Linked DNA regions of Lonchura striata. The protein of the gene in region 1 binds, or shares a complex with, the protein of each later gene. Links are inferred from orthologs where the notes say so. Each region holds a gene or a part of one and is shown in the gene's direction. Other genes may lie near its edges.

Region 1 (9,895 bases):
CTGAAAGACAATGCAGCTTAAGAGCAGACTTGGTTTTACTGTATTAAAGAACCTGGTTTCACTCCCAGCTGGAGATACATATTTAATAATGTGAAGCAATGAGCTGAGTAATGCAAATCTGCAAGGTGGCTGACAGAAATGTATGTTCACATACCAAGTTCAGAAGTTCCTGCTAGTTTGATAGTAACTCAGGAATGGATTGTGCTGCTTGAGGACAGAAAGAAAGGAAGTTCTACAGCTGGTTTGAATTACACTTAACATCTAGTGTGGGCTAACTATTTACAGAATTTCAAAGGGAAAGGTCAGGCAGATAACCCTTTCTTGTCCGTCCTCTAGGACTCAGGGACAGTGCAGCAAATACGGCTACGGGGAAATTTTGAAAATACTTGAATCCTTGTCCTGTGCCCTCTACTGAAGGTCTCCAGACCATAGCAGCAGCAGAGCAGCCACTCCCACTTGAAGGGCCATAGCTCCGTGTTTATCTTGTTATCATACAAAAGCATTTTTAGCCCATCTGTGCAAAAACTATTGCATAGTGTCAAAGAGGTGGAGAAAAGCAGTTCTCCATGTTGCTGGATAGCAAAGCCGGTGAGACTGTAAGAGGAGTGGGCTTCAGCTGTATGACAGAGCTCCTTTTTCCCTGGGCAGTAAGAAGCAATTGCTGTAACATCATGAGGGAGTGGGGGGGAAGGGGAAGGGGAGGAGGCTGGCATTAAGCTGCTGTAGTATATAAATCCTGGGTTGTCTTTTTATATTTTACATGTTTTGAAAACTATTTTCTAGGTAGTTCTGCTGCATACTTTGAAAGACACCTATAATTGTTTTTCCTTTCTGTGTCAGTTCCTCTTCTCTTTGAAAGTGCTGTAATAACCATGTAAAAAGTGACAGTGGCTGCAAGTCAGATATAGGTTTACTTTGAGTAGTGTGCATTTGGACCCAAATTGTATAGATATCTAGAGAAGTAATATATTGCAAGGAATGAAACAAGGATGACATACCTAAAATGTGCAGAGACATCTGTATTATCCTCGGCAATTTTGAAATGTTGAGGAAAAGAGAAAATATTACCCTTTTTGCCTCAGAAAAATCTCATAGAATTTTTGTTTTCTTTTTAACAGGACAGTTTATCAAATAAGGCTTAAACTGTTTGTATAACACATCCTCTACTTACAAGGTATTCAACAGCTTCCTAGAAGTTAAAATAATAAGATGTAAGATATACAGGCATAGGAGTGGAGTATCAGAAATAGAGTACTTTTGGGATCCATTTGTGAGGCAGAACTTGCCTGGATTTGCTACTGTGTAAGTTGTAGTTAATGGCTGAAAGAACTAATTAAGTGTTCTTTCAGGGAATGTACACTGTTTCAGAGGTGTGTCTGTGAATACTCTTAATACAGATCTCTTCATTAGCAGGAAACTATAACACAGGATTTATTCTGATCTCCCCCAAAATAGTCCTCCTGTTTTGTCCATCTTCAGAAAGGACTTGAAATTAAATGGAAGATTTCAGAATGGAACCTTAGCTTTTTCTGTGCTCTGCACTCTCTTCTGTGGTGAGGCGAGATACCGTGGTCGCTTTCTTGTAATACCCACAGGGACCATTTTGCGGCTGCTTCAGAAGTATGTGAAGCTGGACCCTTGCCACTGGAGGCGTACTTTTAGTGTGGCCTTCAGCACACTTGCATGGCTCTCTGGGTTGCAGCATCTGCACAACCTCCTTTTTGAAAACAGAACATTTGTTTTGAAGTAAACTTTTATGTTTCTTCAGTAAATTGGGTTTTTACGCAAGCCTTCGCAGCCATAGCAACTGCTTCTCTTTTGTATATTGAACTTCGTTATGGGTTTTTCCTCTCCCACAAAGAAGATGGTTTGTGGTTAAAGTACATAAATGGATTTCAAGAAATCAAGAATTCAGCTTCTGGTTAAACCACAAATTTCCTGTATGATTGGTAGCTATCTCTGCCTTGGTTCCCCACCAGATGTAATGTTGATCTCTTATAAATTTTCAGATTAGCAGGACCCATCTTTATAATTTAATCTGATCCTCTGCATAATGGAAATGAAAAAAAAGTTAATTACCTGCATAAAGTTACAGGGCTTGTTTCTGCCATAACATCTTGGAAGTTTTAAACAGCCTTAATTTTGGGTTCAGGATCCCTTAATAATGGGTCCAGGAACCCATTTTCCTGTCTTGCAGTAAAACATTCTCACCTTTAAGCATCTTCAGTGGCAATGTGTTGGGGTCTGGTTTTAATTTATTTATTATTTTGAATTTTACCTAAATTTTTGCTCTCTTTCCTGGAAGTAAAGGACTTGGTTAACTAGAATTCTTAGACTAGCCAAGGCATTTCTTAATAGTTTTCCTTGGCTAAATTAAGGAGTTTTTTTAGTGAGTTAATCTGAGTGTTCAACATAGCTCATGCTTTGGGTTAAGGAGACACTATGGTGTATGCACAGATAATGTACGGTGCATGCAAACTATGATCATGTTTTCAGAATACCTTTATTATAAGTTTTTAATTTTATTTGTTTGCAGAGTTAGATGGCCAGTACTAGGTTTTTGCAGTTTGATGCAATGATATTTTATTTTGTAGCAATAGTTTGGAAAATGCTGCTTTGAGCTGGTCTTGAGGCAGCCCCTAAGGTTTGCTGACTGCATGTGTTTCTTAAGACCAAAATTGTTGATGTGGTACAAAAGTTTGCAAAAGCTTTCAGGAAAGCTGTCCAGTAGAAGCAGGCTGCTACACAAAACCTGAACACAATTTCTGAGATTAGTTCCTTAGACATATTATATTCATTCTGGATTTTTGACCATTTTCACAGTTCAGTTTTGTCAGTCTTAGCTACATGCAAATAGGTTTTGTCAATATAAAAGCACTATGCTATTTCCCCGCAGCATATATATCTGAAGAGTATGCCTCTATTTCAACAAGAATATTCCACTGAGAGCTTGTGATCAGCTGAAGCCATCACATTCCCATGTCTGCTGATGGGAGGCTGATCTGAGCCATACTTAGTGTGCTTTAGTCACGCCTTAGTTTAAAACACAGCAGAAGCAGCATATGCTAAACTTACTGACTTTGCTTTAAGCAGGCTAAGGACCACTTTGCAGCTCTGCCAATGAGAAGAATCATAAGGAGAGGACATTATGACAAGACAGTGGCAAGCATTGAGACACTGACTCTAGATTCTAGGCTCAGCAACTAGCATGGAGTTGTTGTTTGATTTGGGGACTTTTTTGGGTTTGGTGATTTCATGTAATTTTTGTGATTCGCTTTGATGCAATTAGCAATCTGCAATTAACTAAAGCTCCATCTGATTATAATGGAAGTTGTTCAACTAAGCATATTTCTAGGTAATTCATACTGGTTTTCATTTCTTATTGTCATTAGTCACCATTCTTATTCTCATTGTCACCATTTTTGTCATCACAGAAGTTGTGTGAACTTACATTTTCTTTCTAATCACATAACTACTTATAAATCTACAGAACAACACAAGGTTGCCAACAAAAAATCCCTTTGATGCTTAGCTACAAATGCCTGTTGAATTTAACAATTTCTCATGTGTGGGAGATGAGATTTTCCTCATCTCCCCTTTGAAATTGTCACTGATGAGAATTATAAGCAAAATGGAGCTAGGTGTCTTACAGAAGTCCTCTATGTCATCGCAATTACTTTGTCAGCCCAAATAATGACCCTATTTAAGGAGGCTATGGAGGCTGGGAATAGCCTATTTTCTCTAGAAGTGGCTAGAGCACTGCTATTTATATACCAGTCTGTTATTTTCTGATACATTAATGACTGCAGAGACCTCGCTGGCCAATAGTTCCTTGGTGTTCCTGGATAGCTAGTTAAAACTTTCCTGTTCTCACTCCATTTCATTTTCTAAAATAGTACTTCTTTTCCAACTGTCACATTATTTTTTATTTTTGGAACAGTCAGTACTAGGCTGGTAATATTCTGATGTCTAGGGATACTTGAAGGCATGTCTGCTTAGTACCAATAATTGCTTATTCTGTTAAAAAAACCCATTACATTAGCTCATATTAAATTTACTTCAAAATGCAGCCACATTTAGAGCTTAGCTTAGCCTTTAAAATAGGAACAGAAATGGTATAGTATTCTATTTTTTCCACCCCACACTGATTTCTATATAATTTATCACAGTATATATGTGACTTCTAGGTGCAAGATACAGGATATATTTTTTCCCTTTGCATTTAGGAACAGATTTACTTATCTTTACAGGATGTGTGTGGTTGCTAGAGGTGGCAAAATAAAGAAAAGAGCACCTTTAATTACAATAGAAGATGATAAAGCTTATAATCACACTAAATTTCTTGTAGCCTTAAGAAACAGAAGGGGGAGAGGCTATGGAAGTTGTTACTCTATTGTTGCTCCTTCTTCCTTCTCCTTCCCAACAGAATTAACTTGATCTGAGCTACTCTGGTTAGGTGTTGTCATCAGGATTTTTTGCAAAAACTCCTGTTTGGACTGACCTGTAAAAGTTTTATCTTTGCAAAGATAAAGTTTACTTACATGATAAAGAGGGGTTGATTTTAGCCATAATTGTGACACTTTTGATATTTTTTTCTTCTGTCCCAAACCACTGAAACTTTTAACAAAGGGGTAAAAGTTGAGTTTTGTGGGAGATGATAATAAAAAAATCACATTAACATATGTGGGATTTCTAGGTAGCCCTGCTGTTGCAGTGAAGAAAGAAAATCCAAATACAGAGTTTTAAGATTAAAATACTTATAAAATCTTAAAAGATTAACTTTAACCAGACACTCAGGATTCACCTGAGTATTGCCAGCATGCATGTTTAAAGTTGTGGGTTGTTTTTAATTTTAAATTCTCTAAATAAATATTTGCCCTTTCAGCCTGTTCATATTTCCCCCTCTGTCATTCTTTTCCATCCCCTAGTTTTCACCTCTTCTAGTTCTACCCCACCGAGTTTCCTCTTTGTGCTTCTTCGTGTTCCCTTTTGCATTAATGCAGTTTCTCGAATTCTTTAGAGAGACTGTATTTATTAGAAAAGTTTATTAAAATGTCATCCCTTTTCAAGTTTTTTTGATGAACTGAACTGCAGAATTTACATCTTCATACAACTGAGAACCTGTAATTTGTCTCATACCTGGGAATGTTTTTCATTATTGTTTTTAGAAAAAGACAAAAAAATATTTTGAATAATTTGTCTCCTCTGTAGGCATATTGGCACTTTAGCTATGAATATAAACACATTAATATAAATGATATAATGTATATACAGAGTACATCTATATGCTTTCATACACACAGAAGCACATGCCTGTCATACGTGGATGTCTTTTAAGTACCACTGGATGAAATGCTGCCAGGAAACTTTACATGGTTGCTGCCAGGAAATTTTACATGGTTTCTGCACTTCTAGATAAGGCTCCAAATCACCAGTGGTACTGGCTGTGCCTAAATTTAAAGATTATGGGAAATGGCTATAGCAAGCTGCCACATGAATAACTAGTGGAAAGTGAAAGGAGGAAGGTAGCTTGTGAGAAAGTATTCGTTTCCAAAATGCAGCACAGAGAGGTGGAAACAAAGGGAAGACAGAATCTTAGCTGTTCACTCTGTACATTAAGTCTAATGGTGCTATCAACAGCTTCATATGACAGGAAATGATCTGGGCGTTTTGTTCACTTATTCTGGATGCCCTTAGTTTCAGAGAGCAACTGGTAACATGGATTGCACCTCGGAAGGGGACAGCTGAACTCTCCCTCTGGCTTTAGTAAGGAAAGAGCAGCGATGAAATCCGTGGACTGTGTGCACGTCATCCAACAGAAGGATACCGCCTCCTCTCCCTCTGCCCCCACTGGTGCTGTTTCAGGCACCACGGGACTTTTTCCTGTCACATTCCTGTGGCTTGCAATGCTCCTGTCCTCTTGTCTTGCAGCAGTGTCTCTTTACCATGTTATCATCCTGAAAACAGAACTAGAAGCTCTGCGCAGCGAGCTCATCTACAGCATCCAGGCAAGGTCTCCGCTAGACCAACCACTCGTGTCCCCCGATGAAAATAAAGCAGGTACCCCTGTTTCTTCCTTCCTGCAAGTGTCTGCAGCTGGCTCCAGGCAGGTAAGCAGGAGGGGTTGGTTTTGACTTGCAGGGCTTGGACCAATGTGGGGCTGCTCTCACTGACTGTTGCTTCTCCTTGTTAGGAGAGCAGGCTTGCTGGTACTGGCACAGCTGAGAGTTTCCAAAAGGAAATCTGGAACGGGAGTAGAAACAGGGGCAGGCGGTCTGTTGTCAACACAGAAGAAAAAGGTAAATACCAGCTGATGAAGTGGTTTTGGATACTGCTGTTGGATATTGTCTAGAGAAAAGCAGGAGTGTTTGATTTGTGTTTTCTTTCTCCTATCTATTGATCTGTGCTCCCAGAGCCCATTCTGGTTTTCAAAATTATTGGTGGATGAATGCTGTTAACCTTAGGCATATTCTCTTAAAAGACAGAATACACAGAATGTTTTGGTTTTGAAGGGATCTTTAAAGGTCATGTAGTCCAAGCACCCTGTCATGAGTAGGGACATATCTGTTGTACCAGATATTTATGCTATCTGCAGGTTAAACTTGAATGCTAGATCCCAAATCTGCATGATGTGTTAGAGTTGAGAAAGGCAACTTCAAATCAATTAGACCTTTAACTGTTCAATTCTCTCTGATCAAAACAGGGAGGGAAATCTATTAGTAAAAATGCCAATTTACTTTTCTGAGAAACATGCTCACCCTAAAAGAGAGAAGTAATGACAACTTTAGGGAAATAGGAGCTTTCAAGAAGAAAGGCTGGCTTGTACCTGAAAAAAGAGGCAGACTACAAGGAATTCAGAAGTTAAGCATAATTTTTACATTAAAACAATCTATCAATAAATAGTAAAATTAATAAAAGAATGCCTATCCAGTAAGATTTTTTTGTCATAGTTCTTCCTTTTTAAAAGGTTCTGGAAAGAGCACTGACTGTGCTCCATGTGTATTATAGATGTATTACAGAGTTGACATATTAATGGGATATATTTTTTTCCTTAAAATGCCTACATTTCTTTCATATTCCAAACACAATGAGGATGAAATGCAGAATGTTATTGTACTAATTTGCACACATACTCTAATTGCACTGAGTAACTAAAGTATTCCAGAGCTGCTAAACCAGTTCACTCTTCTTTTGTATATTTTTATATTATTTTAACAGATATCGTAAACAATTTAGAGAAGTTTAATGGAGCAAATTATAGGTAAAGACTAAATGAAGCTTTGAATAAAATGTGTTTGTCAGTGAGCAATTAACATGACATGTATTTCACTTGAGCTTCAGTAAGCTAAATGAAATTAAAGTTCTAGTGTAGAATCACTTCATTTAATTCCAATATTCAAAAATATGCCATTAAGGACATCACTTAAAATCCACCGATTTATGTGAGATTTTTTCTATTTCGTTAGTAGTCTTTGATTCAAGGTCTTGGCTAAGAAAGATTTCGCAAACAGGACTGAGGTCATGATTGCTTAAATTGTATTTCTTGTAGCCTGTTTCCTTCCACAGGAACCACATAGCTCCCCTGCCCTCCCCACCCTAGGAACTCCCAAATAAAAACAAGTGATCTGAAGTGCAAGTATCATAAAAAATAAGGAGGTGTCTTTTTTAAATGAATGTTAGAGCACCAGTACTCTGCAAGTGATCCAACTTCCTTCACAATAGCTTTCATCTTTACTCTTATTGCTATTTGAAGCAAGCAGGGTTTGGGGCTCCTCAGCTGTGCTTCTGAGTAGACTTTTGATTCTTCTCATCATGTAGCCACCTCTGATTATACCTGTTTATCTGTAACACAGAACATTTCAATTATGCTACTTATTTCTGTAAACATTTTTAAGGTACAGCTGGCTTTAAAGTTGTTTAGGATGGATGAAAGAAAACACATATGAACATTTATTTTAAAGGGAAAAAGCTACATAAGTTGACCTATTACAAATATGTTTTCTAACATGAACCTCATATTTTTGTATATAAAAAAGAAAAAAGTAAATTGCAAATCTTGAATTTTTATCCAAGTTTGTCTGTTAGAATTAGCTTTCTGCCTGCTCTAATTACAAAAAATTTAGCTTTTCAGAGTTTAGTTACGTATTATATTTTCTCAGATCAGATTTCACTGATGACCATGAACCTACTAGTCAATGTTAAATTTTGTTTTAGCAGAGTGAGTTAAACAGAAGAACATGGTGTTGTTCATGGTGCTGAATCCAGTCTACTACTTGGTCATGTACACAGAAGTACAGACCCTGCATTTTGATTGTTTGACATTCATATCTGGGTACCAGAATCCCATCAGCCTCCAAACTGTCCTGCAGATGTGTGGCACTTATTATGTTATAATAAAAAATAAATCAGGGTATTGAGTGAGGTGCCTATTCTTGTCCTACTTCTGTTTGCTTCAGCAAGGTCTCAAAGTAGAGTCTTATTTTATAATTAATTGTTGAGCCATCATTTTACTTTTATATAGATCAATTCCTTAGAAAGTTAATATTGGGAAACATCACTGGTATCTAATTGCTTCTCTTGTGCTTCAACAGAGAGCAGAAGTAAAATACAGAACTAATATCTTGTATATAAATAAAGTTATTGTTCAGTTCTGGGCTTTTTAGACTTTAATCATCAAATTCCAGGAATGGATGCCCCATCATTCTTTTTTTACAACCAGCATAGCCTTTCTTAAACATACTGAATTTCCATTTTAATGCATACAAGTGGCCACAAATAAGCATTTTAATTAAAAGGACAACTGAACGAAAGTGAATCTAACACAATATTGTTACTTTTTTTATGGGGTTTACATTTGTCTATGCTAATGCATAAAATTATTAGTCATCAGTAGTTGCACATTTTGTGTCTTGCAAAAATTTCCAGCTTGGGTAGGTTGAAGAGAAATGTTTCAAGCATCAATTCCAAAAAAAGCTGCACAGTCAGCAGTCAGAACCAGAGTTCTTGATGCAATGAGTAGGAGGTAATGGGTGATTTTGAAATGTATGCCTCTGGCAAATGTCATATCAGGACATGTTACAACAAATGTACTTTTTCTTTTTGTCTTTCTCTTTACAAATTTCATCTATGGAGGAAAATTGGTGCACAGCCTAAAACCTCTCCTGAATTCTATATTCTATTCACAGTTATTGATTGTGTTGCCTGTGTGTTTCTTTCTAAGCTGCATGTGCACTTGAGCCTGGGAACAAGATTTAGGTCCCATTGCCTAAGCCAAAGTACGAACGTCAGGTTTCATTTTCACACTCTCTCAGTGTCTCATTCTGCTCATTATTGTGGGATTCTGATTTCCATGGCCTAGGGAGGTGAGAATCAGGTCTTCTGTAAATGCAAATGCAGGTGACCTACTGGGATCAGACTGGAGCCCCCATGGACTACATTTCCTCTGGTGTACTGAGGTTCCCAACTCCTTGCATGTATGAAGGAGCTGAGGAGCTATTCTATGTAATTCCACAAATCAGTGAGGCAGGATAAGCTGGCACGTGACTTGGCAATTGTTTTTTTTACTAGCAATTCTGAGGATCTACTCCAACAGCAGTTGTGTCCATGGGAAGTGACTCTTACCTTCCAAGCATGGCATTAGAATTTGCCATTGATCTTGATAACTGGAAAATTGGTACATTTGTTGGTAGAAAGTGTTTTGACTGTGTAAGTTGTTACTTTAGATATCCATGGCAGAGGGATAGCAAGGGGTTTTACAATGGTACTTGAATTTAGTGATCTTTGAATTGAGATGTAAACTTTTTTTACTAGCTGAAACAAATGCCACATATAAAATTTCCTTGCCAAATATTCGTAATACTTCATATTTTATTGTTTGAAGAGGTCAAATATGAAA
Region 2 (9,189 bases), on another chromosome or scaffold:
ACCCCGGCTCCGCTGCCCGCCGGGCAGAGCAGCCGCGGCTCCCCCAGCTCGGGGCTGCCTCGGGCGGCGGCGGCTCCCCTGCGCTGCCCCCCGCCCGCTCCCCAGCGCCGCTCCGCGCAGGGCGCCCCGGCCGTGCCCCTCCCGCAGCCCGGCCCGGCCCCTGCCCGGCCGCCGCGGGCCCGGCGCCCTCCCAACATGGCCCCCATCCCTCCCCGCCCCCCTCGCCCTCCGCGGTGCCGGCCCCGCACTTACCGAGCGGCGGCGGCGGCGGGAGGCCGGGCGGGGGCGAGGGCGGCGGCAGGCCGGGCGCCGGGCCGCTCCGCAGGAAGGACGGCACGAACTCGGCGGCGTGGACGTTGGGCACGAAGGGCTTGGCGTTGACGTTCAGCTGCCGGCTGAAGGCCGCCCCGAGCAGCTCCTGCTGCGCCTCGGCCTCCGCGGCCGGCGGGGCGCAGCCCGGGCCGGCGCCGCTGCCCGGCTCGATGTCCGCCTGGTCCCAGCAGTCGGGAGCCGAGTCGCTGCTGCTCCCGCTGCCGCTCCCGTTCGCCTCCATTTTGTGGCGGCCCCACAAGGCTCTGCGGCCCCGAAGCGTCTCCCGGGTGAGGGGGGAGCCGGCGGCGGCACCGACTCAGCACTCGCTCCGCCGATTCCGCGTGTGCTCCGCCGCCCCGACGCGAGCGCAGTGTGGCCTCTCGGGCCGCCGTACCCCCTCCCGGCAACCTCTCCTACCGCCATCGTAGTAGTTTTTATCTCCTCCGGCCCTCCTCCTGCCGTACGTCCTAGGCACGGCGCGGGAACTACAATACCCGTCACACCACGCGCGCGCACCCGCGCCCCGCCTCCCGAGGACAGACGGGAAATGGAGTTGCCTTCGTTCCTTGAGCGCTCAGGAACTGCAACTCCCGGCGGCCGTCGCGCGCGCCGTGCGTCCCTGCCGGCCCCGCCCCCGCCGCCCTGCCCAGGGGGACGCGGAGCGCGGAGTTGGCGCGAACGGGAACCGCCTCAGGCGGGACGGGAGCCGCCGGGCAGCTCCGGGCCCTGCGAAATCACACCGAGCCCGCCCCGCAGAGCTGAGCTGCACAGGGATGAGAACCGCCGGGCAGCTCCGGGCCCTGCGAAATCACACCGAGCCCGCCCCGCAGAGCTGAGCTGCACAGGGACGGGGGCAGAGGCGGGACGGCACCGCCGGGGCAGGTCCCAGCGCTTCACAGACCGCGTCCCGCAGAGCAGAGGGCAGCAGAGCTCCGGGGAGGCTGGGGGGGCACACGCCCTCCCTCGGGATGCTAGAGGGAACGCTGCCGTACCTGTCCGGCCAAAAGTGGACAGGATGCATGAAAGTTCCAATTTTGGTCATTCTGTAGGACACTTTGACTTGGTTGTTAACCATGTAAAAAACCTATCCCATTATAATGGCCAGAGTCAGTAGGCCTTGCCAAATACTGAGGCCCTCTCCCCAGTGGTATGACTCTTAGAAGTTTTTATTACAAAATCTCAACAAACAAACTCAAAAGACATCGCTTGAAGTTAAGTATATTTGGAGGAAACAGCGCAGAACAGAGAGGAAACTAGTAGATTTTGGTTACAGGTCTGCACGAGGCTGTGGCAGCATTTTGTCTCATAAGGTACAGTGTGTTTATAATGCGCAAAGCAAATACTTGGGAGTTTCTTGGAGTGCTGACACGTGAGGGCCGAGTCATCTGCAGCATTATTCATATTAGAACACTGTAGGACAGATTACAGAGTTGTTTTGAAAACAGATAGTCTTAGAACTAAAAATGAAAGATCTCCGTTTGGTGCAGAGTCCAGGGCAGTTTTTGTTGCAGAACAAAAGCTTTCCTGAAGGGGCATTTGTGTAATGTAACCCTGACACGAGAACCAGAGGGCTCTGGCTACACACCAGCAGCAACATGTGGGCCATGGACAAACAAAAACTTCTACAGATGTTAATGGAAGTATGGGCTTCCAACAGATCATAGCCAGGGAAAACATTAGTGTGCAGGGTAGCACTTACAAAAGGAAAGAAAAAAAACACCAAAAAGAAAAACAAAAAAACCCAAAAACAAAGCCAAAAAACCAAAGCCCCAGTAACACCATAGAAAGTTCATATTGGAAGAAAAGATATCACTTATAATGAGAGACTAAAAACCTCTGCCTAAGTGGAAGCCTTTCCTTCAAGCACCACCAAGAGGTTAACCCTAACCCTATTCTCTGGCACAGAGTTAAAAATATACTCTATTTTTCAAATAGAGTATTTAGAATTTTTGTCAAGCTGCAATAAGTCCCAGCTGTGCATGGCAATCACTTTTCAGTTTAACTAAAGGAAAAGTAGCATGCAGTGGTTTGTTTTAGTTTGCTTTCTTTTAGTTCTAACCTTTGCTTGTTAGGTGACATTTATTAACCAAGAGGTGTCTGATACATTTCATATAGTATGGAAACAAGGTAGCACCATTTTAGCACTCAGGGATTACTAGTGTTGAGTAACAGATAAAACTCCACTGGAGAGCAAGCAGCGTGCATTCTGCTGACAGTGACTTGTTACTGAACACTTTTTACTGTCACTGTGAGCATTGAACAGCTCACGTTTATAATGAGTGCAATGCTGTACTGCAAGCTCCTGTTTTGTTTGAGCCCTGGCACAGCCTACAGGTCAGGAAAGCCTTAACTGGGGGCAGGTGCTGCCTTTTCCGAGCAGTTAAGGACCTTAAAATGATCAGCACAAGGAACACAGGGACAGCAATTTTTGCACACATTTTGGCATACCTTAAAAAAACTTCTTGAAGGTTTTTGAAATGGACTTTCTTTCCAATGGCTCATAAAGCACTGCGTTGTGATACATTTTTTTGTGTTTGTGTAGGGGGAGTAGGACCAAATAAGTGTTTGATCAGAGGTGCAGAACTGCATATTACCACTGATTTCAGTGGAAAAGAATTAGTTGTGTTTCACAACCTTTCTTCCTTCCTTGACAGGTATGTATTCCCTAGGTACTTGCTAGGATACAAACAATTAGTCCACAGAATTTCAAAAGATGCCAGATGTCCTTCAGAGTGTACAGACCTGTTTTACAGGCTGTCACACATAGGAATTGTGTAAACTCAAACACTAAATTTTTAACAGGGTTAGTAGTTTGTTTTTCCATTTTGGAACAGCTGGTACTCAAAACAAAAGTGGAATTATGATAATTTTACTGGCAAAATATCCACTGGAGTGTAAATGGTCCTGTTTACTTGAGGTTTTAAAGCATTATAAAAGCTTTTTTTTTGTTTAAATCTCTTCTGCATGAAAATGTTTAGAATAAATATACCAGCTCTTCATTTAATAAATGTTTAAAAGCTTTTCTTATTGAGAACCACCCATATAAATCCATTCTCATATCATGAATTACTTAAGTGATCAAGACTGCTTAGAAAAGAGGAGTCTGGCCCAGCTTAGGGTTAATATATGATGACTGAGGGGCAAAGAAATTGTCCCCCTCCCACAGCTGCAGTTCTAATATCCATCCTTGTGCTGCCTCTGAGCTGTTAGACCCTGTGCTGAGTCTGTCCAGCTCATTAAATTTAGTGTCAGAACAATCCACTTTATTTTTCCTCCTGGGCTACTCAGATGAATCAAATAAGAAGCTTTTGACAAATGCCAGGGCTGGTATAAAGTAAGAATGTGGAACAGGACTTATTTTTTGGGTGAGAGCAAGTTATTAATATAATAAACTATCCCAAGGCAGCTTCACCACTAATTTGCAGTCGGTGGTGAGTCAGTGCTATAGCAGTGAAATGGAGGGCTCTGTTCATATGGTATTGGAAATAGTGGTCTGTACTTTGGTAGTAACTTCCACCCAAGCTCCCACAAGCACTTTGCAGCCTGGCAGGGACACCTACGAATACCAATGATTTAGCCATGTGAACTGAAGCAGGAGAAAAAGATGGATTTCACTAGAAGGCTCCAAACAGGTTAACAGCTTCAAGAAGTTACTTGCTCAGTACCAACAAGTAAGTTTTTAAAATTCCATAAACTACCAACAGCTTTAAAATGAGAGAGAGTTGTTTTATGGCTGAATTGACTCAGTTTACCTTGATATCAAGTAAATTCCTGAGCTACTGCAACATGGGAAAAAACATTTTGGCTGAGACTGGGAGGAGCAGGAAAGGAATACTACTTCCCTTTCTGGCGTGGCAGCAAGCTGGGATTGCAGTGACGCCGTGTGAGCCATACCCTCATCTTTAAAGGTATTCAAATATGTACAGTAGTTATGCACCTAAATGAGTAGCCTGATATTTAGAATTGCTTTGAAGTCAGAAAGAGCCTGTAGAAACAAAGCCAAAGGAACAAGTTATTTAGTTAGGAGAAAGAAAAGACAGGAGGTAAGAAGTAAATTGTTAAAAGTTTGACCAGGTGCCAGGAATTGATAAATTAATATTCTTAAACCCTGGTAAATTCTCTTTCCAGGTAGTCTGTGGAGATGTAGCTGCGAACTAGAGAATAGAAAACACAAGTATGTTTCAGCATGATGGGTTCATTAAGAACCAAGTCTTTCCTATGCTTTACTGGTGCTCGTGGAAGTGTAAGTGAATAAAGAGGCTTTTATATTGACACAAGACCATGTCTAATGCAAACTAAGATATCTTGCCCCAGAAGCATCTTTTTACTGATTTGTTGTTCCAACACTGCTATTTAACAAATGCTCTTTCTGGCCTGTTCCTCTCCCTGTTCTGGGCATTGGCAGAACTGCAGTCCATGAATTCCATCATAGAAATGTATTTGAAGCTATTTCACTGGAAGAATTTCAAATCAAATTCTTCTTTGGTTTTCCAAATGTAGCACCAGAGCATAAGCTCAATTTCACAGTCCAATCATAGAATTACTCCACATCTGCAAAGGAATTTAGAATTTGTTTCACATTTCATTGTGGGTTGGCAATGAGTACTTTAGAGCTGGATTCTTCTATTCTTCAATCTAGTTAAAGCCTTTTTTGATCACTCCTTTTTGGAGCAATTAAACACATACTGCAGGCTCCAAAAAGGGCATAAAGTTAATTGGTTTTCCTTTAGATAGCAAAAGAAATGCATGGATTGCTACACCAGAATGCCAGTTTGTAATTTTCTGTGTCCATCTTCTCCGCTCTCAAGTACCTCCCATGTTCAGCTCATTATTTTTAAAAATAGTCATGTGCATCTCTCACTGTTATGTGTATAAACAACCTTTATTCTCTTTGATTGTGTATTTTGAAAAAGAAAAACTGAAAGGTCTTTTTTTGCAAGTGCCATCCCTTTTTTCAGGTGACTCTAATTGGAGGCTCAGAATTCTCAGCTGTGTGATCTATTGCTTAGTTACCCTGTGTTGTTTAGATCTCAGAGATCTGTAAGGTGAGTTCTTGTTGGATCATTGCTCACGATGCCTCTCTTTGAATGCACAGGCAGTGCAGTGCCTCCTCAGACAGAATTTCTTCTGTGGTTTTATACCCTGAGACTCCAGACTGAAAAATAGGAGAGGGAGAGTAGTTAAGGTAAGTAGCTTTTCTGTCAAAACTGTTGTGTGTGTGGGTTTCTTGCTATCAAAGCTCAAAAGAAACGAAGATGGGAATTTAGGTGTGCAGATTGTGAAGAACCTGTGCACAGTTTATAAACCTTATGACAGTTAAAATGCTGTGAATAGCAGAGGGATTGCTCAATGTGGAAGGAATGTGCTGAGCAAAGAATGCGCATCCAAGGAAGGGAAGAATGAGATCACTTAAATGATGTAAACAGTGACTGAGCTGGGACTAGGAAGGTTAGAGACAGGAGAGAATCTATTTTGAAGATATTTGAAGGCAGAGATTGTGTGGTTTCAGAGATCTGAAAGCCAGGTTTAGGATTGGTGGGAGGAGGCATCATGTCAATCAAAATATTGAAGCAGCTGAAAAGAAATCTTGTGAAGTACAATCCAGACCTCTGTTTTTCTGTTCTTACGCTTTTATTTAGGTTAGCAGTATTTTGATTAGAAAATTAACCTTTTGCTTCCTTAGAAGCAGCATGGCCAGCAGGACCAGCGCAGTCACCACCGCTGCTGAGGCTACACCTCGAGTGTTGTGTCCAGTTCTGGGCCCCTCATGACAGGAAGGACATTGAGGTGCTGGATCATGTCCTGAGAAAGGAACAGAGCTGGGGAAGGGGCTGGAGCACAAGTGTGATGAGGAGTGGCTGAGTATTAACACACTGTTTATTCACACCCTTTCTGATTGCAGGCACTCCCTGACATGGAGAAGCGCCGAGCTGCCATGTCCACTGCTGGATACTGTAATAGCTCCAGGCCAGATCTCCTGCTTTATGAATATGGTAAGGGTTTTATGACACTTCAGTTCTATATGGAAAATTTTACATGCTGGCTGTCTCAAGGGAGGGGAAAATAGAAAACTGGTTCCATGTGGGATTTTCATGTGCTTTCTTTTCACCTTCTTAATTCTCTGGAATTCCAGTTGAGGGAGCATGTTGTCCATTAGAGATCCCTTAAGATTTTAGTTTCTGTAATGACTAAAGCAGAATGGCATTATTGTTATGAAGGAAGAATAACAGCTTCATGGGATTTTTAAAGCTGTTCTTCTATGGCTACTTAACATGTTATCATTGTTGCAGAAAATAATTACTTCATTATGGAATTGTGAGAATGAAGTAGTGAGTTTGTTTCTAAATAGGCTTAATTACTCTAGGAGTATTCTGTGCCAGTATTCTTATTCCAGAGACAGCAATTTGCATGGGGAATTATTCTGGAGTAGTGGTGGCTAAATCAATTGCAATTTCCCTCCTGTCTTGAGAGAGAGCACACATTGACACTGTGATTACTGTTCATGAGAATTTGAAAAAAGTGAATGTGCATTACTCAAACTTCTGATTAGCTAGAGAATTTGGCTTAAATTACCAGAACAAAAATTTCTGTTAGACTTTAGTGTATGCCAAGCATTTCACGTAATTCATAATTGTTCCTGCACATTTATTTTTGTTGTAACTCCAATACTCCTGTTGGCATTATACCACTGATGATTTTTAGTTTATTTTGTCTACCTGCAAAATCCCTATAATAGTAGCACGCAAGAGATCATTTTTCCAACACAAAATATAAGTGCTTACATTAAGAAATAAATTATATTTATATTCTGTAAAAACTATTGTACCAACATAAAAATGTCACTGGCATTCTAACAAGCATTGGCTTATCCAAACTTGCTTGCACAATCCCTTTTTTATGGATTGTCCTTAGTAGTTACATAACTATTCCAGCACATGTGGAATGTCAGAAAAATGAAAAGATATCTTCTTTGCCCCAAGGGTTTGGAGTCTATTAGGACTGCTTTCCTGGGCTGTGCACTTCCTCTGTTCCATAAACTCATTCCTAGCTATGTCAGCTTTGAACACAGTGGGGGATACAGAAGCTGTCTGTGACTTAATTGACTGTGTTTATACTATTGTTATTTTAATCACTATTTTAAAAGAACATTTTCTCTTCTGTTGTTTTCTCTTTAATCCATTTTGGAAATACTCAATGTAGCACCAGCAACATCACTCTTTTCAAAGCTGTGGTCTAATTAAAATGTGCTGAACCAAACAGGCAAAATCCACATTGTTCTTGTTTTTGCTCTGTGTGCAAATGACATTAAACAATATTTTGTCTAAGAGCAGCATTGTTCAGTGCAGCTTGTAAAAGTTAATGAACATGATGAACCCTTTAATAGCTCCATTCTTTTATTTACTAGCAGTGTGTGCCCCATTCCTAGAACAGCTTATCTCCTCCCAGCCATACAGTCAAAGCATGCACTTCACAAAACATGGATTTCTGAAAATAACTGTTTCAGAAATCTTTAACACTGTTTTAGGAGATGACTTCTGTAAGACTGCTTTTCCTAGAAGTGCAATAACTTTTGAGAAGAAAAAGTGTTTTTTGGTATGTACATTGGTCTTACAGATTTTTAGGATTGTTGAGGTGAGGTGATTTATAAGAGACTTTTCTGGGGGATTTGTTCTGTAAATAGCTTTAGAGAATTGGAGAGGATCAGAGCAAGCCTGTAGTATATGATTTGACAGCATAGGTCAGTTGCCTTAGTGAGTGGGAAAAAAAGAGCTGTGCCAGCACAAAACCATCAATGTAGAAGCAACTATACAACCAGAAGAATTCCTTTGTCAGCCTAGCTAATGTTGTTTGTGAAGGGAATGTTATAGTCCTAGCAGAAAACCCTCTTTCTCTTGGTAAGTGCTATGTAATTATGCCAGCAGAATTTCTCAAGTACAGTCAGGCAAAAAAGTTGGCACACGCTTCAACAGAGAAAGCCTGAAGTAGTGCCAGAACAAAACTTTGTTGTTTAAGTTATATGTGGTAAACAGATCAAGTTATTGTTCTGTGACAGATGAATTTCAATCTTTAATCATTGATATGATGATATTACTTACTTTGATTTTCCATCCAGAGTCCTCATTTTATTATTTTTGCTTAGACACTCACAACAGCTTTTTCAAGTTAAATAGTGAGAGAAAAAATTTTTCTTACCTTTTCCAGGTGACTGATTTCTGTTACATAATATCAATTTAATATGTCACAAATAAGAACTGACAAGGATTTCTGTAAGTCTTTGGTTTCTCCAGATGTTTAACAAAACCAGCAGTCAAATTTGGGTTCATGGCAGGAAATGCTCTAGCTGGATGTTCAGTGCTTGGTGTGCCTGTTTTATGCCACAACAACATGAAACTGGAGGTGTTCTGCTCCCATGGGAGAAGGCTGTAGGTCTAAACCATTTGTGTATGTTTGTGTACAACTCCAAAGCACCAACTCCTGCTCTATGCTGGGTTATGCTCCCTTCACCTGTACTCCTTTCACCTGTAAAAATGATTTGATTGCTTGAAATGCTGTTCAGCAATTTGATACCCTACTACAACTGTCAGTGCTAAAACCATTCTTTTAAACAACAAACAGAAAATAGCATTCATACTGGTCTTTATAAATTGTCCCCAGGTGTCATTCCTGAGTCAGAAAATTTTGGAAACAAATCTGAGAATTGGTTTTCCTTTTCTCTTTTTTCTTCCTGTTCTTTCTGCAGTTGATACTTCACTTCTTGCATTTTTTCCCATTGCTCTCTGTAAGGATGCCAACTCCAGCAGGCCAACTTAACTTGTCTGAATTATTCTTAGAGGATATCTTGGGTAGTTTTTGAATTTCAGTTACAGTAATGTAACT

What was found.
Region 2: the proteins of TNFSF13B (region 1) and TNFRSF17 are in contact, whole or in part, in a crystal structure (PDB 1OQD), measured with the Homo sapiens proteins. The link is inferred for Lonchura striata from reciprocal best matches to the Homo sapiens genes TNFSF13B and TNFRSF17. Residues at the interface, in NP_006564.1 of Homo sapiens: Ser162, Tyr163, Lys204, Thr205, Tyr206, Ala207, Met208, Gly209, His210, Arg231, Cys232, Ile233, Glu238, Pro264, Arg265, Glu266, Asn267; in NP_001183.2 of Homo sapiens: Tyr13, Asp15, Ser16, Leu17, Leu18, His19, Ile22, Arg27, Ser29, Ser30, Asn31, Thr32, Pro33, Pro34, Leu35.

The regions. Positions count from the first base shown.
Region 1 is NC_134604.1:82,477,762-82,487,656, forward strand, and holds the start of TNFSF13B (tumor necrosis factor ligand superfamily member 13B), read left to right. Parts: upstream 1-5,783; coding exon 5,784-6,110; intron 6,111-6,193; coding exon 6,194-6,299; intron 6,300-9,895. UniProt on the Homo sapiens protein: Cytokine that binds to TNFRSF13B/TACI and TNFRSF17/BCMA. TNFSF13/APRIL binds to the same 2 receptors. Together, they form a 2 ligands -2 receptors pathway involved in the stimulation of B- and T-cell function and the regulation of humoral immunity.
Region 2 is NC_134618.1:8,894,318-8,903,506, reverse strand, and holds the start of TNFRSF17 (tumor necrosis factor receptor superfamily member 17), read left to right. Parts: upstream 1-5,621; 5' UTR 5,622-5,862; coding exon 5,863-5,951; intron 5,952-6,214; coding exon 6,215-6,305; intron 6,306-9,189. Other genes in the region: GSPT1 (eukaryotic peptide chain release factor GTP-binding subunit ERF3A), read right to left, coding at 253-553. UniProt on the Homo sapiens protein: Receptor for TNFSF13B/BLyS/BAFF and TNFSF13/APRIL. Promotes B-cell survival and plays a role in the regulation of humoral immunity. Activates NF-kappa-B and JNK.